Ovis aries: one gene and its partners. The protein of the gene in region 1 interacts with the protein of each later gene in a pairwise test. Links are inferred from orthologs where the notes say so. Each region holds a gene or a part of one and is shown in the gene's direction. Other genes may lie near its edges. The genes, in order: EFS, NCK2, TSSK1B, SORBS2, ABI2, OSTF1 and SH2D3C.

Region 1 (3,514 bases):
GGGCTGGATGGCTGGTGCCTCTGCTCCCTGCATGGCCAGCAGGGCATCGTGCCTGCCAACAGAGTGAAGCTCCTTCCCGCTGGCCCAGCACCCAAGCCTGGCCTCTCCCAGGTGCCCCCAACCCAGCCAGGCTCACCACATCCGGCCCCGGAGCATGGCAGTGAGGACCAGGAGGTAAGCACTGGAGCCCCCCAACCCTGATTCTGGACAACCTATTCCTCTCTGCTGCTTCAGGAGGGACAGAAAGAGCCCTGAGACCCCCAGCCCTGCACTGACCCTGCTGTTCAAATCCTGTCTGCCAAGTCTTTCTGGGCTCTTTCTCCACTGGCACAGGGAGGGGGTTGGAAGGTGTCTAAGCTCCTCCCAGGCGCACACTATGATTCCCTGCTCCCCACTCTACCTGACCCTCCTGCCTGTCGATCCCCCAGTTGTACGTGGTGCCACCCCCAGCTCGACTCTGTCCTACCTCGAGACCTCCAACTGGACCCTGCCCACCCTCCCCTGACCCCATCTACAAGGTCCCCAGAGGCGGTGGGACCCAACTGGCTGCCCCTGGAGCTGCCTTGGAGGTGAGGGCTAGGGGTTCATGTGTCTGTTGGACAGGGGACAGATGGCTCTCGGAGATGGCTTAGGGGAGTGGGGGGCCCACTGCCGAGCCTGAAAGTAACTAACTTCTCCCTCTGCAGGTCTACGACGTACCCCCCACTGCCCTCCGAGTTCCCTCCAATGGCCCCTATGACTCCCCGGCCTCCTTTGCCCGCCCTCTGGCTCAGGTTGCCCCCCAGTCCCTTGGAGAGGATGAAGCTCCCTATGACGTGCCTCTGGCCCCAAAGTCACCATCAGACCTGGAGTTAGATCTGGAGTGGGAGGGGGGCCGGGAACCAGGGCCCCCCCTCTATGCTGCCCCCTCCAACCTGAAACGAGCATCAGCCCTGCTCAATCTGTACGAAGCACCAGAGGAACTGCTGGCAGATGGGGAAGGCGGGGGCGCTGACGAGGGCATCTATGACGTCCCCCTGCTGGGGCCGGAGACACCCCCTTCTCCAGAGCCCCTGGGAGCTTCGGCCTCCAGTGACATGGACACCCTGGCCCTCCTTCTGGCCAGAAGCCCCCCAGCCCCACACAGACCCCGGCTGCCCTCAGCCGAGAGTCTGTCCCGTCGCCCCCTGCCTGCCTTGCCTGTGCCGGAGGCCCCCAGCCCTTCCCCGGCTCCTTCTCCTGCTCCAGGCCGGAAGGGCAGCATCCAGGACAGGCCCCTGCCCCCACCCCCACCGCGCCTGCCTGGCTACGGGGGCCCCAAGGTGGAGGGGGATCCGGAGGGCAGGGAGGTGGAGGACCACCCGGCAGGACACCACAACGAGTACGAGGGCATCCCAGTGGCTGAGGAGTACGACTACGTCCACCTGAAGGTGAGCTTGCCTCAGTCAGCACCCACAGAATGCCTCCAGGAGAATGGGGGTCAAGACCTGAGGTCCCAGAGGCAGACCCTGGCTTCCTCCATTCCCTTCTTCCCCTCCGCTGACCCTGCACCCTGTAGCCTGTGACCCCTGTACTGGGCCACATCATTTGTATCAGTGCCGCAACCCAACCTGGGGTCCCCAAGCTCTCTGACCTGCCACTAGGGCTCTCCCAGACCCAGAGTCAGGAGGCTGTGGATCCGATGGGAGGAGAGACCTTCAGGAGGAAGTGGGAGTGGGGAGGAGTGGGAAGACCACGGGGGCTGCCTTGCCCTGCTCCCCTACCCCTGCACTGAGGCCCTTATCCCCTACCGCAGGGCATGGATAAAGTTCAGGAAGCCAGGCCTCCAGATAAGGCCTCCCCAGGGGATCCTGAACAGCTGGAGAGGGGGCCGCCAGAGCAGCAGGTAACCCGGTGCGGTTGGTGCTAGAGAAGGGGGCAGGGGAGGAGGAGCAGGAACCTGGAAGAAGGGGTATTCTTAACTGAGGCATCGAGGGAAGTCTATTTAGGAGAGGGTAAGAGTTCAATGAAACAGGACAGTTGGGGTGGAGAGGAGTTAGAATCCAGAAAGGAGCTGGAACTTCGAAAAGGATATCAGGAATTCAGAAAGAGAGGAAAGAATGTGTTGGAGAGGAGTCAGAAAACCGAGCATTCGGGGGGGGACAGAGTTTCTGGGCCGGGTGACTTCTGAGGCTCCTTCCAACTGTGAATTCCTGGGTTCCTAAGAGACCTGGGTCTTAATTCCAGCTCCACCACTAAGAAGCCAGGGCCTCCGAAGCCACCAGTTAATCTCTCTGGGTCTCAAGGAAATGAGACTGTCTCCTCGACTCATGGTCTAGAATGGTCCTAATCGCCATAGCTACCATCTGTCACGTTTGTACCAAGCGCCAGAACCTGTGCTAAGTACATTGCACCTGTCAGCACTGATCATAGCAATAGTTAGCACTCATACGGTGCTTACAGTTTGCAGTGCTGTGTTCTCAGCTCTTTTTGTGAAGATCAGCTAATCTTCACTGCAGCCTTAGGAGGCAGAAACAAGAACTGCAGGATCCAGTGTGGTAACCACACGCCACATGCAGCTACTCATCCCCAAGTGTGACCAGTCCGAACTGAAATGCACTGTAAATATAAAATGCACACCAGATTTTGCAGACTTAGTATGGAAAGCAATTTCAATAATTTTTACATTAATTACAGTGTTGAAACTACACCATTTTTAATATATGGAATTACAAAATAGGTACCAATTTCTTTGTAACTTTTCTAACGTGGCTACTTGGAAATTTGAAATAGCATATGTGGTTGGCATTATGTTTACATTGGACAGTGCAGTACTAGGCTCCCCGTAGATAAAGAAGATAAAGGAAGATAAAGAAGATAAAGGAGATAAAGGAATGATGACGTTCAGAGACTTGTTTCTGAGGTTGTTTGAATCCAGATTTATCAAACATCAATTCTGGGCATCTTCCTGTCACTCGCTAAGAGAATCTAAGTTGTCTGATAGGAGAAGGTACAGTTTAAAGGGGTCGAGCTCAGGGAGAAAGGAAGGCATGAGGAACAAAGGGAGGGAAGGAGAAAGGAAATAAGAACGGAAGTGGCACTGGCCAAGCAGTCCTGCTGAACCCTCTTCTCGCCCTTAGGAGGCCCTGTCCCCTGGGGAGCCACTGGTTCTGCCCACTGGAGATCTACAGCTCCTGCACTTCTACGCTGGGCAGTGCCGGGGCCACTACTCAACACTGCAGGCGGCCGTGGCGGCCCTGATGTCCAGCACCCAGGCAAAGCAGCCCCCGCGCCTCTTTGTGCCCCACGGCAAGCGGGTGCTGGTGGCCGCCCACCGCCTGGTGTTCGTTGGGGATACCCTGGGCCGCCTGGCAGCCTCTGCCCCTCTGCGAGCACAGGTTGGGGCCGCGGGCACAGCACTGGGCCAGGCATTGCGGGCCACCGTGCTGGCCATCAAGGGGGCCGCCCTGGGCTACCCATCCAGCCCTGCAGCCCAAGAGATGGCGCAGTGTGTGGCAGACCTGGCAGGGAGGGCCCTGCAATTCACCACTCTGCT
Region 2 (4,057 bases), on another chromosome or scaffold:
CCCTAAGGCTGTAGGTTTGAAAGTTAACCCCCGAAAATCAGACCGGAAATATACAAAAAAATGATTGAGCCTCTCTAAAAAAGAAAGGTACATATTAATGAAAACAAATGGGCCAATATTGTTTTGGGTATATAACTGTTGGAGGTTAGAACATGCCAGATAAGGACAAACATGGATAAGTTAGAAAGGTAGTGATGTTAGATAAATGAACAGATAGATGACTGCATTTTAGGAAACAGCAGAAATGCAATGTGCACAGAAAACTGCACCAGATAAAGACTGAGAAAGAGATGTTGGGTTTCAGACAGAGAATGTCCTTGGTGAGTTTACAAAGACCCAGAGAAGGAAGAGGAGTTCAACTCTCCATTCAGTGAAGGTTACAAAGCAGAGGAGTAGCAAAAAACTGGGTCAATATTGTTATACCTATTTTGAGTAAACTAATTTAGAACTGGGCCAGACCATTTACTATAAACTCTGCTTTCCTTCTTAGGAAGACAAAGTTTTCACAAAACAACAGACTGAGGAAGCTTCTTTCTCAAGGATGTAGAACAGGTGGCTGTCTCTGACACCCTGACCTTGGACTGATGGTGGCTCAGTGCCCTGATCCCCTCCAGCCACTGACCACTGAGTGCTTCCTACTGCCTGGAAGTATGCCAGGGACTTCCAGAGGAGCTGGGCAAATATTATCTCCATGTTGGATAGATTTTAGATAGGGTAAGAAACTCTTGTTCCACAGTTGAAGAACCAGACAGTCAAACACTCAACTGGGACTTCAAAGATATACTGGCTCCAGGACCCTCCTTGGGTACTTGTGTTGGGAAAGAGGCATTCATTCAGTGACATCATCTTGTCACCTGGGGTAAACTACGATTGCTTTAATATAATGAGAGGCCAGGAGCCTAAGGAAGACCCTCATTAACATGGATCCGGCCTATTCCACCAGGATATCAGAATCATTTGAATAGTAGGATTTCCTTTGGGGAAGCCACGTGGGGGGAGATTGATGACAGACATCTGGATACATGTGCCTGTTTAAGGAACCCTGTGTCTTGCCCCTCCTCTTGGGTTTCAGTCTTCCAAGTGTGTTTACAGGTAAGCATGTGGCCAGGCGGCCCGACGGTCCCACCACCAGTGACAACTCCTGGGACCTACATTCCTGCAGTTCCACCCAGGATTTCGCCCTGTGGGCGGGTTTGAGCTGGACACAGAGGGAGGAACAGACATTGTGGTTTCCTCTTCTGCTTTTAAGAACTGCTTCCGACGATAACGAGGGAGTCAAAAAGTGTCTGGTTGGGAAAGTAAATAGATACGAGGCAAATAAATAAAAATGCCCAGAAGCAACTACACGGAGGAAGTGACATTTTTCTGTAAGTCACTTTTCTGATGGACCGCAGGCCTGCTCCGCCGAGGGTGCCGTGGGAAGGCTTCCGGGAGAGGGGGCGGTGGCCAAGCCCCAGCGCGTCCTGATAAGAAAATCAAACAAAAAGGGGATGGACAGACCACCCGTCGGTCCTTCGAGGCCGGGCTGCTGCTGCTCTCGCCTCTCCCGTCTTCCTATTCGCTCCCGGACGCGCAGGGTCGGAGCTGGGCCTCCCCTCCCCTCGGCGCCCGGCCCGGCCCGGCCCCGCGCAGGGTCCTCCGGGCCGGGCGGCGCCCGCGTTTGAGCCTCGAGCCAGCCCCGGCGCCGCCCGAGCCGGGCCGCCGTGCGCGCCCAGGTGGGTCCCGGGCGGCGGGCGCGCGGGCCTGGGCGGCCCCGGCGGCGTCACTGGGCGGAGCGGAGGAGGACGAGGAGGAGGAGGAAGGGCGCGCGGCGGGCGCAGCCGGGAGGGGCGGGGGCGCCGCGGCGGGAGCGAGGCCGGAGCCGAGCGGGCCGGCGGGCGCTGGGCTCGGCGGCGGGGGTCGGCCGGGCCCGCGGGGTCCGCCCGGGCCGGAGCGTCGGCCGAGCGGCGGGAGGAGCGAGCGGCGCAGACAAAGAGCGGCGCCTGGGCGGGCGCAGGGCGGCCGCCGCCCGGGACCCGCGCCGCTGCCCCGGCCTCGGCGCGCGGCGCGCGAGGTAAGCGGGGGCCGGGGGCTGGGGCCCGAGGGTCGGGGCTCAGGGGCTGGGGCCCGGGCGGAGGCCGTCAACTTGGGCGGCTCGCGGAGTTGCGGGGCAGCCGGGGCGGGGCGCGCCGGGGCCGGAGCCGGGGCTGGGGGCCCGGTCGCTTGCGCGGCCTGGCCTCGCGGCTGCGGGCACCTCCGGCTCGCCCCCTCCCCGGGTCGGGCGGGCGGGGCAGGCCTGCGCGGTGGTCCCGGAGCGGGGACCGGGGAGGCCGGGCGCGCCGCCGGCGAGGACCGCGTGGATCGCCGGCCCCGCGCAGGCAGGACCGGGAGGCGAGCGCGGCCCGCACAACTTCTGGGATCGGGACTGTTGGCGACCCCGCGCGGAGCTGCTGTCACTTGGCGTCCGGGAGGTTTCCCGCGGCCCCTAGGCGCTTCGTGCCGGGCTCCGCGTCCGACCGGGGATCGCCGGCCCCGGAAACAAAGTTTCTCACGATCGCGCTGCCCTGGTAGCTTATTCTGGGCGATCGAACCACCCAGCGGTTCTGGAAGAATTCGGTGTGTGATTGTAGGCGTAGACGGTAACTCCCTCGTGAGCGCATTCGGCGTGGAGCGAGTGGGGGGCGTGATTGCAAAGCGCTTTCGTGTGTGGACCGTGGCGGTCGCCCTGAAAGGGCTGCGCGTGTGCCGGGGCTCTGGGCTCACTGGCAGCTCGTCCGCGTGGGGACAAAGCTGGAGCCGGCGCGGGGCGACCTCTGGCACTCAGGCTAGGTCGGGTCCCCTGTGTTTGCCTTTGTTTATTTTGCCAACAGGTTTGGGGCTGAGCCTGGCAAGTTTGGGTATGCGCAGGGGATGAGCAGGCCTCAGCGCTGGGCCCGCGCAGGCCCACTCCTGCCCTTGACCCCAAAGAAAGTGAACCCCGAGAGGCTACGGGGTGTGGCCTGGGGTGGGAACCCCGAGGTAGCAGAGTCCCGCCTGGTCCCTGCCCGGCTTCCTCCTCGGCTTCGCCAAAGGGATTTAGTAGGAATGAGAGTAATTTGAGGCGTGTTTTGTCCCTCTGCATCAGGTATCGTTGGCAACAGGGCTTTTCAAGGCTAAAAGAGACTGAAAATGAAATCACTCTGGTGCTTTGAGTTATCACAGCGGACCTAAACTTTATTTCCAAACACTACCCGTAATTCACTTACCGGGTGTCCCCAGATATTAATAAACGGGTAAATTAATAACAGGAATCGAGCCTGGGCCAAGGGTTTAGTAAATAGGAGGGCAGTGGTGCACAGGAGATGAAGTGGGTTCAACTGCGAGACTGAGCTGTCCATGTAGGTTTTTAGGTGGTCGGAACAGGGGTTTCCCCAGATGTGAGTGTTAACCATGATTCTGAAGCAGTGACCGGGAGGGAAAATCCTACATTGATGTTTCTCCTCTCCAGGTTGATTAGATGTAGTGTTAATTGAGGGAGAATGCAAATGGCAACCCACTCCAATACTCTTGCCTGGAGAATCCCAGGGACAGAGGAGCCTGGTGGCCTGCCGTCTCTGGGGTTGCACAGAGTCAGACACGACTGAAGCAACTTAGCAGCAGCAGCAGCAGCAGCAGCATTGACTGAACAAAGTTGCCAGATTTTAGCGGTCCTCTGGCTGCAGCTAGCTGAGGCTGAAATTGGAAACTTAAAGCGGTGGTAAGCTGGTGGTACCAAAGAGGCCTCATCTGGGCTTCAAGCTTCTCAGCTGCTCCCTAGACACGCTGCGGGATTGCTCCTGGAACATGGGATGAAGTCGGGTGGTGAATTGCGTCCAGAGAACAGACTGACCCAGTACCTTCTCTCCCCACTTAATGTGGGGCCTGATTAAGGTGATTTCAAGTAGCTGTGCTCACTTGTCAGACTTTGAGGTTTTCTTTATCACATGCCTTGCACTTCAGGTCTCTTCATCCCTCCTCTCTTGGAAGCTGTGATGTTTCCCAGCCTCTGTTGTTTGCATCAAGCGATGACTGAGATTTTCCAGCAAATGCATCATATGTA
Region 3 (4,232 bases), on another chromosome or scaffold:
AGCACCCTCCTGCACAGGTGCCGGCTCCAGTTTCTCCCAAGACCACCCCGCAGCCAGTCACCCCGCCGCCCCAGAAGCATCACTGGCCCCTCCAACTCCAACTGAGTGAGGGGTGCCCTGGCTGCCGAGGGAACCCGGGGGAGGAGGTGGGGCGCTCGGCGGCAGATGGCGAGGGGCAGCGAGGTGCAGCGCGCCCGGGCCGGGAGCCCGCTTGGGGCCTGCACCCAGCCGTGCTCCCCGACCTGCTGGGGACAAGCAGTCCCGACAGCACCCACGAAATGGGCCCCTTCCTCCACTAAACAGGGTCAAGAACCTCACTCTGCAACCGCGTCGATACAAAAACGAACGCATTTATGCGTGCGCGTTACAGCATCGGGCTCCTTCCCGCTGAGTTTAGAACCCCTGCAACCCACCGGGGCACGGCGGGCCCCGGCCTTCTGCGCCGGACGGGAGCCCTGCGTTCGGGCTCTTGATTTCTCGCGGACAGAGGTGGGGGGGGGGTGCACATCGGAAACAAGAGGTAAGGCTCGAGCGGGACCTTCTGCGGCCCGGACCCCAGCTCCCGACCCGGGCTCTCCTCGGAGGACGCCCGCCTCGGCGGCGCCTCACGCGTCCGAGGGACCCGGGCGGCCAGGGCTTCCAGGCGCCCGGGCCGAGCCCGCCGGCCGCCCCCCGGCGCGCACCTGGCCGCAGCGGCTCGGTGACCGTGAGCACCAGCAGGAAGAGCAGCAGGAACGCGCCGCTGTCCGCCTTGGGCACCATTTATCCTCCGTTCATCGTCCCCGGGGCGGCCGCGCAGGCCGGGCCGAGGGCTCGGGCCGGGCCGGGGCCGGGCCAGGCGAGGGCGCCGCGGGGAGAGGGCTCCGGGGGGCCGCGGGCGGGCGCGCGCTTTCGGCCGCCGCCTCGGGCTCCGACTCCGGCTCCGCGCAAGATGGCGGCCGTCCTGCTCGGCCCGCACCGCCCCGCCCCCGCCCGCGCCGCCGCCAGCCAATCAGCGCCGGGCGGAGGCGGGGCATGCGCATTCCGCCTGCGCAGTGACTGAGAGGGGCGCGGCCCAAGGGCGGGGCGGGGGCGGGCCCGCCGGGGCGGGACTACGGGGAGCCGCGGGCCCCATTGGCTGACCAGAGAAGGGCGGGGATCGGGGGCGGGGCCTCCTGGGGGCCTGCCGGAGCAGGAGCTGCGGAGGGGCGGGAGCGGCGCGGGGGCGCGGCTCCGAGGGAGCCCCCGGGCGGGGGCGGAGTTGGGAATCCCTGAGAAGGGCCCTTGCAAGAGTGCGTCCCAAAGTGGCGCTTTAAAGGCCGAACCGCTGCGGTGAGGGGAGAGGAGACCTGGAGAACCTCCGAGGTGGCCCCGGGAGGCGCTTCCGCAGGTGCCGCTTCACCGGCGCGTGCAACTGGAGTGCTGCATACCGACGAGCAAGCAGGCTCGAGGAGGGTCCCGCGCGGAGAGCCGACTGGGACGCCCGGTCCCCTGGAGGGGGGCCCCCTGCACAGTGGGGACCGAGCGGGGCCGGGGGGAGACGCTGGCTCAGCTGCCGCCACAGCAGGCTCTTCCGCACGGAGGGAAGCGTTGGCCGCGCACCTGTCACCGCGGGAGGGGACCCAGCAGATGGAGTACCAGCGAGGGAGGAGCAAGCCCTCCGAAGGACAGACCACCGGCCACCACGCGCAGCAGGCCCGGCCTGGGCGTCAGGGTGGTTAGAGGGTGAAGATGGGAGCGGAGAAAAGAGGGAGGGGAGAGGCGGGGATGGGCGGTGCACCCAGACCGTCAGCAGCTGGCTCCCCAGGAGCAGTCACCCCAAGCCCCTCAGGGCATGATCCTCCTGAGCACCCCAGGATCCCAGCCTGGGACATTCAGGGTCATCTGAGAGAGGCACCGGACTGACCCCAAGGCTCTGCCAGGCCTGCCTGCTCCTGCCCTCCCGCACCATCCCGCCCTCCCCTACAGCAAGGCCCAGAGCAGAGAGGACCCACTCCTGGCAGGAAGCGTGGTTCCCATTCAACACTGCCCTGTTTGCCTGTCCTCAGAGGGCATTTCCGGGAGCAGCTGCTGCTCTCAGAGGAGTCCAGACCCACCTTCTCCCCCACCCCCAGACCTGCCCTTGGAGCCCAGCCAGGGCTACGACAGGGCAGGCCCCCGGGAGGGGCCTCACAGCCAAGGGCAGAGACCCGGTCAGCTGTCCCCAGCAGAGCTGGCCAGAGAAGGTTCAGAGGAGAGCAGCACGGGGCAGTGAAAAGTCCAACCAGACCACGCAGCAGGAAGGCGGAGGGGACCCTTCCTGCCCCAGCCCCCTTCTCAGTCCACCTGCCTGTGTGGACACCGCGGAGGATTTCCAGGGCCACAGGGAGCAGGAGGAGGTCAGGGAGGTTTTCTCCAGCCCCTTTCCTGGGGCAGATGACCTAGGTCACCGCCTTGGTCAAGGTGGCCCTCCGGGCACCACTGTCCCCGGGTTCCAGAAACGACCGTCCCTTCATCCAAGGGCCCATCACCCACTCGGGGTTCTGGACACGGCTCCATGTGGGGGTGGGGAGATCATCCTCTTGTTAAACCCTCGCAGGCAGTCCTCACTTGAGCGTCTCCCGTTTGCTGCTGAGACCTAGATGGTTGGGACGGTTGCCCGGACTTCCAGGGATGCCCTGGGGTGCAGGAAGTCAGCCCATCGCCCCCCTGCCCCCAGCAGCCCCCCTGCCCCAGCAGCCCCCCTGCCCCCAGCAGTCCTGGCTCTGGTGTGGAGGCTTGGGCGAGCCGACACAAGCCGACGCAGTCCCCGCGGCCCCTCCTACCTCGGCCCCCGCGCTCCGCGGGCGTCCGTCTGCTGCAGGGTTCCAAGGTCGAGCGGCTCAGGCTGGAGACCCATTCCGCAGGGCACTTCTTCTTTATGACTTCACCCACTGAAGTCACCCGGGAAACAGTGCCGAACGTTCCACCCCAGAGTCTTGGCCTCTAGGAGGCAGGGACGGGAGGCCCGGGCATCCCAGAGGACTCTGCCCACAGTGTAGATGAGGACGCGCTGGCTCATGTCCCGCAGGGATGTAGAGGGCAGCCTCAGGGGCACTGGGCGCTCCCGGCACCATGGATGACGCTGCCGTCCTCAAGCGACGAGGCTACATCATGGGGATCAATTTGGGAGAGGGCTCCTATGCCAAGGTCAAGTCCGCCTACTCCGAGCGCCTCAAGTTCAACGTGGCGGTCAAGATCATCGACCGCAGGAGAGCCCCCACCGACTTCCTGGAGAAGTTCCTGCCCCGGGAGATCGAGATCCTGGCCATGCTCAACCACCGCTCCATCATCAAGACCTACGAGATCTTCGAGACGTCCGACGGCAAGGTCTACATCGTGATGGAGCTCGGCGTGCAGGGCGACCTCCTCGAGTTCATCAAGACCCGCGGGGCCCTGCAGGAGGACGATGCGCGCAAGAAGTTCCACCAGCTGTCCTCGGCCGTCAAGTACTGCCACGACCTGGACGTCGTCCACCGCGACCTCAAGTGCGAGAACCTCCTCCTCGACAAGGACTTCAACATCAAGCTGTCCGACTTCGGATTCTCCAAGCGCTGCCTGCGGGACGACAGTGGCCGGCTGACGCTGAGCAAGACCTTCTGCGGGTCGGCGGCGTACGCGGCCCCCGAGGTGCTGCAGGGCATCCCCTACCAGCCCAAGGTGTACGACATCTGGAGCCTGGGCGTGATCCTCTACATCATGGTCTGCGGCTCCATGCCGTACGACGACTCCAACATCAAGAAGATGCTGCGCGTCCAGAAGGAGCACCGCGTCAACTTCCCGCGCTCCAAGCACCTGACGGGCGAGTGCAAGGACCTCATCTACCGCATGCTGCAGCCGGACGTCACCCGGCGCCTGCACATCGACGAGGTCCTCAGCCACTGCTGGGTGCAGCCCAAGGCCCGGGGCCTGTCCTCCGCAGCCGTCAACAAGGAGGGCGAGGGCTCCCGGGCCGCCGAGCCCCCGTGGACCCCCGAACCCAGCTCCGACAAGAAGTCCGCCACCAAGCTGGAGCCCCGGGAAGAGGCACGGCCGGAGCCCCGGACTGAGCCCAGCCCCGAGGAGGAGACTGCGACGGTGCAGGTGTCCCAGCAGTCAGAGGCCGTGGGTCTGCCCAGCGAGCAACCCAGCAAGACCGAGGAGGGGGCGCCCCCGCAGCCTTCAGAGACACATGCCTAGCCCACCTGTTGCGGCCCAGGCGGCCGGCAGGGAATGAGGCCGAGCTCAGGGCCCCG
Region 4 (3,514 bases), on another chromosome or scaffold:
TAAAAAATATAAATTGCATTGCAACGGATGTAGTAATGATCTCATTTTGGTTTGAAAAAAAATATCTTTATATCTATATATTTGTACCTGTTTGTTCATGTGGATGTGAGCATAGAAAATGTTAGAAAAACAATCATTTCCCAAACTCATAAGGATTTGTCAGAAGTAAATGAGGGTAAATGAAGAAAATAAATGGACAGGTTTATCATAGTACTGACAAAGACAGTAGCCATTCAGTAAGTTAACTTGAATTTAATTAATACATTTAATTCTTGCAAGCCACTTGAACCCACTTGAAAGGGGCTATAAGAATTAAAATCAACATAGCTTTAAAGAAAAGTATCTAATATAGCATATCATAAAGAAATTTAAGTAAAACCCAAGAATAGAGACTATGAGGTAGGGGGTACTGCAAACACAGCTACATAAAAATAATAATGTTTGAATCATAAGGGTGGAAAGGACCGCTTAAGGACATGAAGTCCAGTCCCCGACACCAAGCCAGGAAGGCCCTAACAACTTCTCTGACGTGTTTGCTACCTTCTGCAGCATACAGGGCGTGCTTGTTGTAAGAGGGAAGAGCAGTTAAAGTTCTTGGTTCTCAAAGACTATTTTCACGCACAGAACAGCCAGGGAACATTAAATCCATCCCATTTACTCATTCTTAAATTTTCAAAGAAGCAATGACCACCCACTAAAGAATACTAAAAATTAAAGGCTCTGATCCCTAGAATTCTAGCTGGGTTTTTTTTTTTTCACAAGTGAATGGTCATAAGTGTTCAAAATATTAGACAAAACCATTTTCTCCAAGCATCTGCCAAGTTATTTACCTGGCCAATTCTTTAAAAAATAACCAAAAAGCTCTATTCTCTTTACTTGACATGTGTCTAGGATGCTTCTTATTATCCACTCCAAATCACACCTGCCCTCCCTTTCCTAAGCTTTCCTGGCAGGGGTGAAATAAAAACAGAGCTATGGTGAACAGTGTCCATGTGGGATGCTGTATGATTTTCAGTTCCTCTGAAGAACTATAATATTAGTAAAGCAGCAAATTGGCACTCAGCGTTTTATATATCTAAAATTAGGTTTATGTTAAAGAAACTGAAATATTTGTACACCTAAGGAATCCTAAAGGACCACTCACTTAAAAGTAAATTTGAATCATTAACGTCCAGGACCTGGACAGAAGATTAGGCTGAATGATCTCTAAGATCCTTTCCAAAATTAAGGCGTTATGATTCTAGGTGAAGCTGGCCCCGTGGTTATCATAGAACCAAGCAATACCAACTGAGTACCTAAAATTGTGCATAATTTATAGGAGATTCTTGAAAGTATAATTCCAAATAAAACTGAGAGTAAATATGTCATCAGGCTGCTTTCCAGCTGTATTATCAAAAGCAATTTATTAGTACTGAAATGCTTACTGCAAGACAGTAGAATACTTGAAACAGCTTTTTCATTGTTGAATATAAAATCACTCTTAAATGGCAATAAGAAGAAAATTCAAAGTCTAAGAGTGATTTGAAAATATCACATAATATGGCAGTGTATTTTACACTTTCTTAAAGTACAGAAGAATTAAAGCTACAAAAAATTGATGGCATTGAAATCTAAGGATCTGGTGGTTTGATTCACTGTTAGGAGAACCATTCATTGTTTACCAAACTTTTGATCCTTCAAACTGATATTTAAAAACTCATATATTCACCTTAAGCAGTAATAAGATAAAATTGAATTCTTGCAGTAATACTGAGGGGAAGATAAGTGTTTGATATATGTTTTAATTATATATCATATTTAATTAATTCTAATCTAATTGAAGTAAAAACAAATGCACAAATTTCCATTAGTATATTTTATATACCCAGAGTTTTAGAACTGAGATAATGTTTGCCCCAAAACCAAAATGTACATGGTTTTTTGCTAAATGATCTTTACTGCATTGTTCATTTTACCAGAGAACTAATTTTGACATTTCTTTTTCTTTTAGGGCGTGATTCTCAGTCACCAGACTCAGGTACCAAAACACTATTCTGAATGACTACTACATTTGTTGTGGGTTTTTTAAAAAAACATATTCATAGCCACATTGTTACTCTTATAGTAAACTTAAATTGCATACACAGTTACACATTTTAACGTCTAAAAAGAAAATTTCAATTTTGGAAATGAAAATAAATTTTATTTTAAAAATATGTTAAAAGTGAATGTAGATATTTTTGTATCCGATTTGTTTTCTCTTAATAAAAGCTTGGAGATGTTACAATGATCGAAATCAAGAGACACTGAATGGAGATGCTACATGTTCCTCTCTTGCAGCAAAAGGTTTTAGAAGCGTTCGACCAAATCTACAAGAAAAAAAATCACCAACTCAGGTAATCCTGCACACTGCTGTCTACTGTGTTAATTTAAACCACCGCTCTAGGGTCTCTTTTCTAGTAACACGCATGTTTTGATATGTTTTATTCTTAATATGTTGCTTTTATATTTGTATTGACTTGTATTTAAAACATGGAAGACAAGTCTTAAGTTCAAAACAGGTTATTGATTTTTCTTTTTTTCTGATTCAGCTGATAAAAGCACATCAGTTTCTGATATAGCATATAATTTTCAGGATATTTTCTAATTCTTAGAAAAACAGCTAGTTGATGATTTGGATTTCAAAGTTATGAGGCCAGCAATATATTTACTGAATAAATATGAGTTATTAGTAAAACTGTCACAGGCATGAAACGTGTTACCAAAACAATGTGAGTAAATACTGTATATGTATCTCAAGGTCTGAAAATATACCAAGAGAAAATATTTTCACTTTTAACCTAATTTCCCAGAAAGTAGATGGAGACAAACTTGATAGTATATTCTCCATAAAACTATTTTCCCCCAGAAGGCAACTATTGACAATAAATTAAAATGCATTCTAAATGAAATAAACGTGATCATTCAACCTGGCCAACAAAATGTATAGCATAATAAGAAGGTATGACATTGCTTTACTTTCTTTAAGGGTAGAGTTAACACTGGTTTCTTTAATGATTAACTTTGACTTTCTCTCTGTTTTTCCTTCAACATTATTTCTTTCTCTGGATGCTTTTGGTAACCCAGGCACCCCTTCCACCACCCAGAAAAGAGAGCTTTTGTAGCTCCTTGATAACCAATCATACAAAGGGTGACATTTTAGACCAATCAGTAACTAACACACAAATTCCATCTCGTACAGAGTTCTTTACTAACAAAACACCGCTCCAGGGAACTATGTATTCTAATGATGATTCTAGCCAGACAATTGTATATTCTGAAGAATCTAACACAACCGTGTCATATACACAAAAAATCACTAATCCACTACCACCACCTTCCAGCACAGGTCCCCCACCAAAAGCTGATATGAGTACCCCATTTCTCCAAGAGGACTACACCCAAGATTCTCAAACTCGGAGAATTTCCACACTGAAACTAATCCATAACCAGGATCCAGGAAGCATCATTACCTTTAGTCCTCCGCAGTTTCCCA
Region 5 (3,514 bases), on another chromosome or scaffold:
TAGGCTAGTCTTGTGATGTAGGATTTAGTTTATAAGTTCTCGCTCTACAAATTAATGTTTTTCAAGTGTGTGGATTTAAATTTTATAATCATTGTGCTTTATTAAAACATTATTTTGTTTATGGAGGGAGTCAAAGTTATTAAGATATTTTGAGGTCACATTTTTTTTCCACATTTGAGTCCAAAATACTATGTTGGGGGAATCTAGAGAAAAGGAATTGAAGCGAAGAAATAGAAGTTTAGTCAGGTCAAAGATGAGATGACATGTATATAGGAATGGTTGGTGTCAAGAGTTGTTGTTACGGGTTGTCTGGTAGAATGGATAAAGACCAGTAGATATTAGATATCTGAGGTATTTTCTAAACCCTGCTGTAGTTTCCTAAGATGTAGGCAGTCTTTTAGAGTAGACAACTAGAAATGTGTAACCAAACTATTTTGGCTTTCTAAATGTAGAAATACGCTGTTAAGAATTATGTTTTAAAATATGCCTTCAAGTTTAATGAGAATTAACATAAGAAACAACAAAGAACATTTTTCTCACATTTCCTTCAACTAGTTCCTTTAAGAGTTCAGTGCTGGGCAAATGGTCACTTTCCTAATGAAGGGGTATGCATTTCCTTGTAACTCATTTCTGTTTTGCCTTCTCTAGGAATCTAAACTAAGAGCCTAATTTTATGCCCCATTATAGCAGCTATCCATTATTTAGGATTATTTATGAAAGTTCTTTGATCATTTCTTTTGCCACATTGGTTTTCCTTTTATGCTGCTTGTAATGGTTTATATAGCTTTGGGCTGTGTGTTTATGTGTACATAAAGAGAATAGATAAGTAATATGTGAGTGCCTACAGTCCCTAGGTATAATCTAATTGTTTTCATTCTTTTTAGAGCCTCAGTTTTTTCAAAGAATGTAAAATACATGTTTGTTACAAAATATAACTATATATTAGTGCAAATAATAAGTGAAATGTTACCCCCCTCTTCATTCTCCGGAGACATATTGATATTTCTAGCAGGAAAATTTGAAATTGAAGTTCCAGTGTGCCTCAAACTTAGAATTCTGTTATCATTGGTTAGGTTTACATTCTTATATTTTCATTTCTGGGTGAGATAATTATATTTTTAAAAACTAAGCAGAATGAAAACAATGTTGAAAGATTACATTCTCTAATAAATTTTCTTTATTGATATGATAGAGACCAGTTATATACAAAAAATAAGGGTCATATTTTGTGTTTTTAGTTTATTTTGAAGTATACTTGACAAATATAAAATTTTCCCAGCTCATATTTTTAATAATTTCAGAATTATTCTTTAGAAATTATTCAAAGTAAATGTGGTTAATTTCTATTTTTTCTGAATTTAAAAATAACTAAATCCCAATATTGTCACTTATACACAAACTTCTTTCTTCTATTATAGCTCCCCCAACCAATGTAAAAGGAAAGCAGATTTTATAACTTATCTAATGTGCACAGAAAAAGTTCAAAGCCTATTTTGGTCTTAAAATGAAATACTTATAATGCTAAGGTCTCTCCTACCTTTGCCAATATTTGATCTGATGCTTCACTTAGGTATTTATTAGTTATGCACTCAAAGAGTCTGTTGCCTTTAAAATCTCTTGGTTGAAGGTAAGAGGCTTCAAATTTGTTTCAGGTTTCCTTTAGACTTTATGTAGTTTAGAAGGATAAGTAATCAGTGTTCAGATTTCCTAAAGTTGTATTTAATATTGTCATAATGTCCTAATATGACATAATAATGTCATAATATTGTCTTTTATTTTCATTTCTGTGTTACTACCTGGCTATTCTTTAAGAAAGGGTAAATTGAAGTAGGTTTGGGGAAGAATCAGCAATAATTCCTGCTTAAGCCATGAATGGTGGCAAGAGATGTGAACAGTTTAGTGAAGTATGTTTGAAACTTTTAAAATTGAAACCCACAGTTAAACATATATCTTATATTCCATCCGTACACACTTTAATGTATGTATTTATGTACATAACAAATATTTTAAGAAAAAAGTACCTTACAGTGTGTATGTTGTCTGATAGTTCTGTTCTTTTTGATTTAAAGTAATTGCTGCTCATTATCTCACTAAATTGCAACTTGCAGTTTGAAACATGCTGTTTTAGTGTATTAATTGCCTGTGCTTATGGAGAAATTCACCCTCTATTAGCAAATGGAAAATAGAGTAAAAACACATTGTTATGTACTAAATTATAGCCTGTTTTGAGCATTTAATAAAATAATGAAAATATTTTACTAGCATTTTGTCATGATAAAATATAAGCAACTTTACCTCAGCACACTTGTTTCTTTGTAAAAGATGACTTATATTAACATTGTATTTATATTTTAGGCCTTTTTAAATAAAAAGCTATTTAAACACTAAAAGAAGTTATACTAATAGGTTATCTTTAAATGTTACCAGATTAATTGCTGGTACTTTCTTAATTAGGCTAAATCTTAATAGAGAAGGAGAAAATTAGCATGCTTTAACCTGGAGGTTGGTAAGCTTTTCCTGTAAAGGGTCAACTAATGAATGTTTTATGCTTTGCAGGTCATAAGGTCTCTGTTGCAGCGTTTACCTCTGCCATTGTTTTGTGAAAGTATTTAAGCAGGTCGAATGACTGGTATTGCAGTAAAATTGTTTATGGAAACTGATACTTGAATTCCATATAATCACGTCAAGATCTTATTTTTCTTTTGACTTCTTTTAACCATTGAAAAATGTAAACACCACTCTTGGTTTTTCGGCTGTAAAAAGATGGGTGATGGGCCAGATCTGTTTTGTCTGCCAGGATTTCCCAACTCTTTTAGCCTGAAAATGGGGAAAGTCAGTATTGGTCCCAAAAGGAGAAATTCGTAATTGCAGTTAAGAATATGAATAATGATGTTAAATCTACGTATTTATGTTTTTATTTTCTGGCTATCAGGGCTATACATTTTTGTGTTTATGTTTTGTAGACCGTTGATATTCATAAAGAGAAAGTTGCAAGAAGAGAAATTGGTATTTTGACTACCAATAAAAACACTTCAAGGACACATAAGATTATTGCTCCAGCCAACCTTGAACGACCAGTTCGATATATTAGAAAACCTATCGACTATACAATTCTAGATGATATTGGACATGGAGTAAAGGTAAGCATAAGTTCTGTCAAACATTAAAAAAAAAAAAAAAAAAAAAGCCCATGATGGAATTAACTCTTTAGAAAATTAAATGCTTATCTTTTCTTTCCAGAGGATCATTCTTGGCCTAGTTGTAGTTCTGAAGATTTCTTACCACTAATAACTGTGTTATCTTTCTTTTTAATGCTGGGTTCTCAAGTTTTAAACAGTCGTCTTTGAGTGAATTGCATTTGCTTAACCAGTTATGAATATACCTCATGTACATCTGGAAATAAATGTAGTATTATATTTTAAATCCTTTAATGATTTAATGTGACTAATTAAATACTATTCAGTATGTTAGTAAAGTATTTGCTTTATCTCAAAAATATCAGCAAATTTCTGGC
Region 6 (4,300 bases), on another chromosome or scaffold:
TTTTCTTCAACATTTTGATTACTTTCTATGTGACAGGGAAGTCTTTTTCTACTATTTTTTTTTTTTTTAAACTTTGCTCCCTTTTGGTAAACACCAAGGCTTGCCTGTCCGAATACACAACCCTTGCCCCTTTGTCTTGTAATCACTGTTTCACTTAATTCCTAGTAGACTTCGAAGCTTCATTTTACCTAGACTCTCATGCAAAGGGTTTTCTTCTCAATTTTTATCTCCCCCCCTCTATACAAGTGATTTATCATATTGCCTATACTATTCTAAATTTTCACCCGCTGCGTTTCTTGTCTGTTCTAGCCCCTGCCTCCCAGTGGAGATTCAACCTGCTAGGTCTGGGGTGGGCAAACTTGCTCTGCTAAGTTCTAGACCGTAAATGTTTTGGGTTTCGTGGGCAGCTGCTCAACTCTGCTGTTAGGAAGTGAAAGTGGCCACAGGCAATACAGAAGCAAATGAGCGTGGCTGTGTTCTAATAAACTTTACGGACATTGAAATTTGAATTTCATATAATTCCCACGTACCACAAACTCTACTTCTTTTGATTTCTTTTAATCCATCCTAAAAAAAAAAAAACATGAAAATCATTCTTAGGCTATACAGTAACAGGCAACAACGAGGGCCTCCGTCAGTCACTCTCAACTCTAAAGGAGGAAGATTGCCTCCTCCGATAGGGATCAAGACCTCACCCCTACCCCAGTGACTTCTCCCCAAAACCTGTATGGTCTCCAGAAGACCGATTCCCATTTTAAGGATTATTAGGGGGCGTGAGAGTAGTACCCCATTAGGACAACACTTTCTCCTGGGCAGGCCACTTATCAGTTTATTTAGGGTGGTAGATATCCTGACAGAGCTTGCAAGACACGGCCAGGCTCAGGCTCCAGCGCAGGAACACTCTGGAAACACCTCCAGGCCCCAGCGAGTCTGCGTGGCGGGGAGCGCGGAGTCAGGCAGGTACTACTCACCGGGCGCTAGTTCGTTCGACTGCTCCCGAGCAAAGCGGCACAGGCGATCGCTACGCGCGCGCCTGTCACTAACCCGCCGCAACCCCTGAAGCTCGTTAACCAAGAGGCGCACAGCCTCTTTCCCCGCTCCCCTTCCGGGTCAGAGGCTGCCCAGGGTAGAGAAGGCCAACCTAGGTTCCGTACCACCTGGAGCGGACGCGGCAGCAGGCTCTGGCCGGCGTTGGGCGGGGCGGGCCTCTGGCGTGCGTGGCCTCGCGCCTGCGCGCGCGATCCTGCCCTGTCCGGCCCTTTCCCGACCAGGGTGCGCGCGGCCAGGGCGGCCCCGGCGCGAGCCTGCGGCTTCCCGGTCCGGCTCCGTCTGGTTCTGCCTCCCGGCGCGCCGCCGTGCGCGCCGCCCGCGCTCCTGCCGCGGCGGAGCGGGCAGCAGGGGAGCCAATTAGCACTCGGCTAGGCGGCGGCCACTTCCTCGTCTGCGGGGCCGCGCGCCCCGGACAGCTCGGTCGGCCACGGGGCGGGGCGGGGCGGGGCACTTCGCTGAGCCGCCTTGCCTGCCTCGGTTTGTCCGGCTGCCGAGAGTAGACACCGGTCCCTGGAGGCGCACCGCTGCAAAGCAGACAAAAAGAAACTGAGGCGCTCAGAGTGTCGGCTGGAGGCACGTTTGGTTGACTTTCCGTGCGTGGTCTTCAGAATCAGCCGCTCCAGGAAGAGAGATGTCGAAGCCGCCACCCAAACCAGTCAAACCAGGTAAGGGAGGTGCTCGGGGGATCCCGGGCCGGTAGCGGTGCCCCGCGCTCCCTCTGCCCCCTTGGCAGGGCAGGTCAGGCACGTACCCGGCCCCGAGCCTCACTTTCGCGATCCACGCACCAGGGTGGGATTTGTTGCGTTCGCTCCAGGAGACAGATCGCAAGATTTTCGAGGAATTTGAAAATTTTCATTTTTAAAGAGGAGTCACCCTCGGTTTTTCAGCGTTGCCATTCGCTGCAGCTTTCCCATCGATGTGATGGCTACGTCCCATTGACGTTTTCCTGGAAAACAGGGCCATTGATCTCCCTTAGGGGGGAGAAAAAAGTCTTGAAATGGTTTTTTCTTCATCCACTTCCTCTTTTTTTTTTTTTCCTTCACTGTGTGTCACTGTCAAGTTTGAGTTCTTGACCGGCCAAAGCGAACGGGAAGTGCGCTGCTTATAGGGTGGGGTGGGTGAGCGAGTCTCCTTTGGGACTTTAGAGAGGAGCAGCAAATTGACCTTAAGATCTTGGGAAAAGCGTTTAGGAAACTGTAGTTGAGCTCCTGACTAGAAAAATCTAGGCTGCGGCAGCGTAATCTCAGTTATTTCTATTCGGAAATGTCACTTTATAGTGCTGAACAAGTCCTTTGCTTTACTCCCTCTGTGAGTTTGTCGAGTTAAACTGGAAAGGGTGAGATTTCCTCAAAGCAGGTCTTTTGGCGAATGTTCCTTGTTCATTTCTTCTTCGATCCCTAGAATATTTTCTGGGACAGGGAGAAAGAATTTAAAAGGGACTGAGGCATTTCAGTTCGATACTGTAAGAAACTCATACCTTCATTGGGTAGGTGATTACAGAAAACGTAGAAAATGGACGAGAAATGGCTCTGACATACTCTCAGCTTTTTTCTTCCTGGTCTTAGGTAACTTCAGTATGTTACAGGCTGAAATCTGAAATCTGAAATCTATTTACATCCAGTTTCAAAGTAACCTTGATTGAGAGAGTCGTTTCAGTGATTGATTTTTTTCTTGATTTTTCTAAACTTTAGTCAAGCTGTTCAACTTTCATCCAGTTCTCTTTCTTCACCATCATGCAGTGGTAGTTCCAAGTCATTTTATTTGAAAATTCTGTACACACTCGCATATGTGACATAGTCAGTCACCCAGAACCTGAATTTTGGTGGACTGGGGTGTGACTTTGCTGGGACTTTGGCTCTGGTGTTTGCGAAGGTGGGACATGGCTAGGATTGGGCTCTGTGTTTCTTTAGAAATGGAGTCTGATGAGGAATTTGCCTTCTAAGTGCCTTTGTGGAAAATGGCAGCTTTTAAAACTTAAGTATAAATCAGGACCTCAAGTAATCAACACAACAGAGTTATTCTTTGATAACTGAACAGAGTACTTTATTTCAGAGAAGGTCCTGAGAAGCCATTCATGAGGTTTTTCATCTCTAGACATTCGGTGATGTCTGTGCTACAGCTGGAGGGGCACGGATGTGATATGTTTTTGTGTATTTGCCTGGGTGTAGGGATCACACTGTGACCAGTTGGAAATACACTCTCAGGAACCATTTTTGTTGTCTGACCTTCCTGCTTTCTCCTTCTATTCAGTAAATCAGAAAGCAAATGGTTAAAAAATGACTACTATTCAGACTCCACATTGATTTGTAAATGAGATCCAAACTAAAATAAGATCACCCTAGAAATAATCTGTCAGTGACCTATTTACAGTGAGAAATATTACTTTTAATCCAACTTGAAACTTTGTGTGGCCTGGCTTAGTTGAAAACAGAAGGGGACTATTATAGTCCTGGCTCTCGTTTACAGTGTGCCAGGCACTGATCTAAGCACGTTCCGTGTATTATCTCATTTACCTCTCACAATAACCCTATGAGGTCAGTACCTGCATTGTTCCCATTTCACAGATGCGGAAATGAAGCTAAGTCAAGAAAGGTCAAGTTAAGGTGCCCAAGATTAGCCACTGAGTGGAGAGGAGTGGGCAGAATTAGAACCCAGGCAGTTTGGCCCCAGAGTCTGAGCTCTTAACTGTGATGTTACTGTGCTTTACATCAAAGCCTACCATTAACTCCTGTCATCATGTGTACTTCCTGGTAGGCAGGAAGTGGGAAGGAGAGTGTCTCTGGTCCTCAGTCAGACTTTCTTGTCCTGTAGGCAAGATAGATGGGTGAAAATGTCAAAAGCAAACTTGGAATTGGAAGGCAGGGTGTATTTAATTCTTAGCTTCTTGGTTTGTTTGCACCCCTGCCTCATCCTGAATGAGACTTGATTAAAAAAAAAAAGATGCAGGAAGTGGGGTCCTATAGAAGGAGGGAAGAATAACAAGAGGAAACTGGAGAGAAAGTTATCTTACAGACATGCATGTTGTAAGAACTTGCAAAGTTTCTAAAGAAGGCCTGTAGATTTGGCTCTTTGCTTCAAGCAGAGAGAGAGAACAGATCAATTACTAAGATTCTCAGTGTTCATAAAATTAAAATGTATTACTTGCTCTGAGAAGAGTTATTACAGTGGTAGTGAGATCTGAAATGAACTTCTCATGGGTGGGTTCTCTTTAAGTATTGCCGTGAACTGGACATCTCTACAAGAAACACAA
Region 7 (4,101 bases), on another chromosome or scaffold:
CTCTAAGTGTGCACGCTAGGACCTCAGACTCCATGGCTGGACAGGCAGGTCCCAATTCCAGGTCACTTGATTTCGGGGCAGGGCCTCAGTTTCCACATCTGTACAATGAGGACAAGAAAAACAGTATTTGCCTCCTTAGGGCAGAAGAACTGAGCCCTTTGGCTGGCCCGTACTAGGTGATCAGAAAACGTTAGTCATTAGTAGTCATTATTTTTATGGAGGATGTACAAGGGGCCCCACCTGACCTTGAACTTCTCCTTTCACACCCCAGTGGGCCAGCCCTGGGGCCAGGATGATAATGTCCGATCATGAGAGAGCCCCCGTGGGTTGACTGTGTACCTTATGCTCGTGCCTATTCTAGAAATTAGGTGTCCAAGTCAGAGGCAGAAGTAATTCTGCACTCAGAGACAGGATCTGAAGCCCCTGGTCTTTCAGGTGCCCCCCAGCAGTTGCTGGAATCTTCCGCAGGTGTCAGGGACAACCTGTGTAGGGGAGGTTTCATTTCCTCATCTCTGTCCTGTACACACACACACACACACACATACACACACACACACACACACACACGGGGATGCATGGTAGAAAAACACCAGGCTGAGGGTTAGGGGCCTGAAAGGGCAGGGTGTTGCTCAGTCTGTGCTATCGACTTGCTGTGTGACCTGGGGGCCTTCTGCCTGCCTGTGTCTCGGTTTTCCTATCCTGTCCTTGTACAGCGGGGTGGTGGACTAAATTATCGCCATGTCCCTGCCAGCTTGAAAAGGACTGACCATGCCTTGAGGGCACTGATTCTGTGCCAGGCTTTTCACCGTGAGGTGGACATTGCAAATACCGCTCGCTCACAGAGACAAAACTAAGGCTCAGGGAGGGACTTGTCCAGGATCACACGGTGACAGAGGGGGGCAGCTAAGACTTGAATTTGGCTGGCCTCAGGGCTCGCGGGCCAAACCATGGCACTCCCCTCGCCACCACCGCCAGCACATCCTGCAGCACTGAGGCTTAGAATAAACCCCTCTGCCCACAGGCCTGACTCCCTGCACCCTCCCAGCCCGCTGGCCAGACCCCCCGACAGCGGTTGTCAGGTCCCTGGAGGCCCCCAGCCCAGTAGGCTCTGTTCCCAGAGCCTGCGGTTTCTTTCCCAGACCTTCTAGATCTCACGCGCTTGTGGTCTGCCCCCTGCCTCCCCCCGCTGCCGAAGCCAAGGAGGAGGCCCACAGGGGCTGGGACTTGAGGGGGGGCGCCCTGCCTCCGCCCCCTATGGAGAGGATGGGGAGGGTGGGGCTGTGAGAGTTTCACTGGTTTAAAAATACACAGAGGAAGCTAGTGAGAGGGCGCGAGAAAGGGGAAGGGGAGGTGAGAGAGGCATCCCAGCATTGATGTCCAGAGCTTCAAGTGGCCACTTGCCTTTCGGTCAGGGGCTCTGCACGACTTGCCAAGATGACGGAGGGGACCAAGAAGCCCAGCAAGAAGTTCAGTGAGTGTGGGGTGCCGTTTGTCCGTCTCAGCCTCTCTGCATCCGCTTCTCCCCATTCTATCTTGTTCCTGTTTCTCTTTCTGTCCATCTCTGGCTCTCTCTGGAGGACTCTGATTCTGAGTTTCCATGGTGCTGTCTCTCCATCCCTCTGGCCTAATCTCTCTCTCCAGCTGATTTGGCTCTCCATCTCTGTTTCTCTCTTGTCTGTCTCTGTCTGTCGCTATTCCTCCGTCTCTCCCCACCCAACTGTCAGTCTCTCCATTCGTCTGTGTGTCCCCTGGCTCCCTTTGACCTCCAGGCTGGGCCAGGGAAGACCTCCACGCATTCCATTGCCTGCCTCTGTACTGGTTCACATGGGGGTCTCAGGTTGGGAGTTGCTGGGGCTGGGGTGGGGGGAGGGGTGTGTGCCATGGGTAATGCCCCATGACCCCACCAGCAGTGATGCTGGGACCCAGAGCAACTAAATGAGGGGCCACACTCACCCTTCACTTTCTTCCCCAGGTTGCTGATTCCTTCCTGGTCCCAGCAAACTTTGGCTCCCTCTGATTCTTTTTTTTTTTTTTTTTTAAGATTTAGATATGGATTTAGCTGTGTTGGGTCTTAATTATCGCACTCGGGATCTTCAATCTTCATTGTGGCATGCAAGATCTTTTTAGTTACAGAATGTGGGATTTAGTTCGTTGACCAGGGATCGAATCCCAGGCCCCCTGTATTGAGAGCACAGAGTCTTAGCCACCGGACCACAGGGAGGGCCCCCTATGATGCTTTGGATCTGACAGCACATGAGGGGAGTGTACAAGGCAAAGATTATGACTGTATTCCACAGACGAAAGACCCAGAGACTTGCCTGAAGTCATATAGGGTTACGGAGCAGGGCTCAGTCTCACGTCCCTGGACCCTGGACTTCAGTTTCCCTCCCTGCCCACTACTGCTTCCTCCAGACCCCCGGTGCCCGGGAGACAAAACAAGAGGTCTGGAGAAAGGAGGCGATTTGCTCGTTGGCGTAGCTTTCTAAGAGCAGAGCCTCAGCATCTGCTGACAGCGCTTGTCAGGAGGCAGAGGCTATAACTGAGGGTGGGGTGGGGGTGGGCAGGCCCGGGAGGAAAGCCCCAGAGCCCTGACCCCAGCACTCCAGAGCCCCAGGCCCTCGGCCAGGCTCTGCTTGGCTTTCTGACCCTGGGCAAATTCCTGCCCCTCTCTGGGCCTCAGTTTCCTCTCCGTCAAATGGGGCCATCCCACCTATGTTCCACCATGGTCGTGAGGATCTGACGAGGTGGAGGATGCCAAGGAAGTGGGAAATGCCAGGGTGTTTTCGTTTTTGCTTATGGAGGGGCCGTGGTGAAGTCCGGCAGAAGGTGGTGGCTAGGAGGAGGGGCAGTCCCACAGCTGAGAGCAGGCAGGAGGGCGGGCGCTCAGGCGCACCCCTGCGGAAACGCGGAGATGGTATCACCCGAGCACTGCCGCCTGAGTCCCCACTAGGGCTCAGCTGACAGGAAGGAGAGAACCGCAGGGAGTGGGACCCTCAGGGACCCGACAGCCCCCTTTTCATTTCATCCGCACCTCAGGGGCACCTCAGAGCCTCGTTCAAACACCCACTCCACACACCACCCCCCCCGACCCTGACACGCACACACACACACACACACACACACACGCACACACGCACACACACACACATGTGCTCTCATGTCACCGATCTGAACCTCAGTTTCTTCATCTGGAAAATGGGGGATTAAACTTGTGTCATGGAGTTGTGCTGAGAATTCAGGGAAGTAATTAATGAAGGTGGCATGTTTGACAAATGCAAAGGCCTTTATGTGATCGTCATCACCATCTTTCTTCATTACTTCTGACGGCTATGAAGCATGTTATTTACATGCTGAGTTCATGCCTTTCTTCAGTTCTTCCACTGTCAGAGGACAGTGGTCCCCAACCTTTTTGGCACCAGGGACCAATTTCGTGGAAGACAGTGTTTCCACCATCTGGGGATGGTGGGGGGGATGGTTTGGGGATGATTCAGGTGCATTAGACTTAATTGTGCACTTTATTTCTAGTCTAATACCATTGCTGATCTGCCAGGATGTACTGGTCCACAGCCCAGAGGTTGCCCCTGCCCCTGCCATGGGGGATGAATACTATAATCTCTATCTTACTGATGTGGGTGAATGGGACTCAGAGAGGTCAAGTGACTTGTCTAAGGTCACAAAGCTAGGATGTGGAATTCAAAGGCTATGGGATCCCAGTGGTGCCATATTATACCGTAACTCCTAGAGGGGGTGTCAGTGAAGCTCCCAACCCTCCTTGAACCCTCAGTAAGTGGAACTGCACAAATGTTTCATTGTTTTTATTATTACTGCTGGCAATGTCATTAACTCCTTTCCCTCCCCTCCCCCCTTCTAGAGTTCTTCAAGTTCAAGGGGTTTGGGAGTCTCTCCAACCTTCCTCGGTCCTTTACTCTGAAACGATCTTTGGCCCCCAACAGTATCCGGCCCCAGGTGGAGGCTGACACCTTTGATGCCACACAGGATGACATGGTGACAGTCCCCAAGAGCCCCGCAGCCTATGCCCGCTCCAGCGACATGTACAGCCACATGGGCACCATGCCTCGCCCCAGCATCAAGAAGGCTCAG

The links.
Region 2: the proteins of EFS (region 1) and NCK2 interact in a two-hybrid assay, tested with the Homo sapiens proteins (2 studies listed by BioGRID and IntAct). The two-hybrid records come from large-scale screens. The link is inferred for Ovis aries from reciprocal best matches to the Homo sapiens genes EFS and NCK2.
Region 3: the proteins of EFS (region 1) and TSSK1B interact in binary tests that used the Homo sapiens proteins (3 or more experiments, as listed by UniProt). The two-hybrid records come from large-scale screens. The link is inferred for Ovis aries from reciprocal best matches to the Homo sapiens genes EFS and TSSK1B.
Region 4: the proteins of EFS (region 1) and SORBS2 interact in binary tests that used the Homo sapiens proteins (3 or more experiments, as listed by UniProt). The two-hybrid records come from large-scale screens. The link is inferred for Ovis aries from reciprocal best matches to the Homo sapiens genes EFS and SORBS2.
Region 5: the proteins of EFS (region 1) and ABI2 interact in binary tests that used the Homo sapiens proteins (3 or more experiments, as listed by UniProt). The link is inferred for Ovis aries from reciprocal best matches to the Homo sapiens genes EFS and ABI2.
Region 6: the proteins of EFS (region 1) and OSTF1 interact in binary tests that used the Homo sapiens proteins (3 or more experiments, as listed by UniProt). The two-hybrid records come from large-scale screens. The link is inferred for Ovis aries from reciprocal best matches to the Homo sapiens genes EFS and OSTF1.
Region 7: the proteins of EFS (region 1) and SH2D3C interact in a two-hybrid assay, tested with the Homo sapiens proteins (2 studies listed by BioGRID and IntAct). The two-hybrid records come from large-scale screens. The link is inferred for Ovis aries from reciprocal best matches to the Homo sapiens genes EFS and SH2D3C.

The regions. Positions count from the first base shown.
Region 1 is NC_056060.1:21,376,014-21,379,527, forward strand, and holds part of EFS (embryonal Fyn-associated substrate), read left to right. Parts: coding exon 1-174; intron 175-428; coding exon 429-569; intron 570-686; coding exon 687-1,409; intron 1,410-1,774; coding exon 1,775-1,864; intron 1,865-3,098; coding exon 3,099-3,514. UniProt on the Homo sapiens protein: Docking protein which plays a central coordinating role for tyrosine-kinase-based signaling related to cell adhesion. May serve as an activator of SRC and a downstream effector. Interacts with the SH3 domain of FYN and with CRK, SRC, and YES.
Region 2 is NC_056056.1:60,725,255-60,729,311, forward strand, and holds the start of NCK2 (cytoplasmic protein NCK2), read left to right. Parts: upstream 1-1,246; 5' UTR 1,247-1,367; intron 1,368-1,496; exon of another isoform or gene 1,497-1,715; intron 1,716-1,845; exon of another isoform or gene 1,846-2,053; intron 2,054-4,057. UniProt on the Homo sapiens protein: Adapter protein which associates with tyrosine-phosphorylated growth factor receptors or their cellular substrates. Maintains low levels of EIF2S1 phosphorylation by promoting its dephosphorylation by PP1.
Region 3 is NC_056070.1:72,619,534-72,623,765, forward strand, and holds TSSK1B (testis-specific serine/threonine-protein kinase 1), read left to right. Parts: upstream 1-1,430; 5' UTR 1,431-3,072; coding exon 3,073-4,176; 3' UTR 4,177-4,209; downstream 4,210-4,232. Other genes in the region: DGCR2 (integral membrane protein DGCR2/IDD), read right to left, coding at 684-762. UniProt on the Homo sapiens protein: Testis-specific serine/threonine-protein kinase required during spermatid development. Phosphorylates 'Ser-288' of TSKS. Involved in the late stages of spermatogenesis, during the reconstruction of the cytoplasm.
Region 4 is NC_056079.1:15,069,830-15,073,343, reverse strand, and holds part of SORBS2 (sorbin and SH3 domain-containing protein 2), read left to right. Parts: intron 1-1,990; coding exon 1,991-2,017; intron 2,018-2,250; coding exon of another isoform or gene 2,251-2,319; coding exon 2,320-2,375; intron 2,376-3,105; coding exon 3,106-3,514. UniProt on the Homo sapiens protein: Adapter protein that plays a role in the assembling of signaling complexes, being a link between ABL kinases and actin cytoskeleton. Can form complex with ABL1 and CBL, thus promoting ubiquitination and degradation of ABL1.
Region 5 is NC_056055.1:205,385,162-205,388,675, forward strand, and holds part of ABI2 (abl interactor 2), read left to right. Parts: intron 1-2,963; coding exon 2,964-3,140; intron 3,141-3,514. UniProt on the Homo sapiens protein: Regulator of actin cytoskeleton dynamics underlying cell motility and adhesion. Functions as a component of the WAVE complex, which activates actin nucleating machinery Arp2/3 to drive lamellipodia formation.
Region 6 is NC_056055.1:61,718,053-61,722,352, reverse strand, and holds the start of OSTF1 (osteoclast-stimulating factor 1), read left to right. Parts: upstream 1-1,494; 5' UTR 1,495-1,681; coding exon 1,682-1,715; intron 1,716-4,300.
Region 7 is NC_056056.1:8,439,459-8,443,559, forward strand, and holds the start of SH2D3C (SH2 domain-containing protein 3C), read left to right. Parts: upstream 1-1,299; 5' UTR 1,300-1,434; coding exon 1,435-1,471; intron 1,472-3,871; coding exon 3,872-4,101. UniProt on the Homo sapiens protein: Acts as an adapter protein that mediates cell signaling pathways involved in cellular functions such as cell adhesion and migration, tissue organization, and the regulation of the immune response.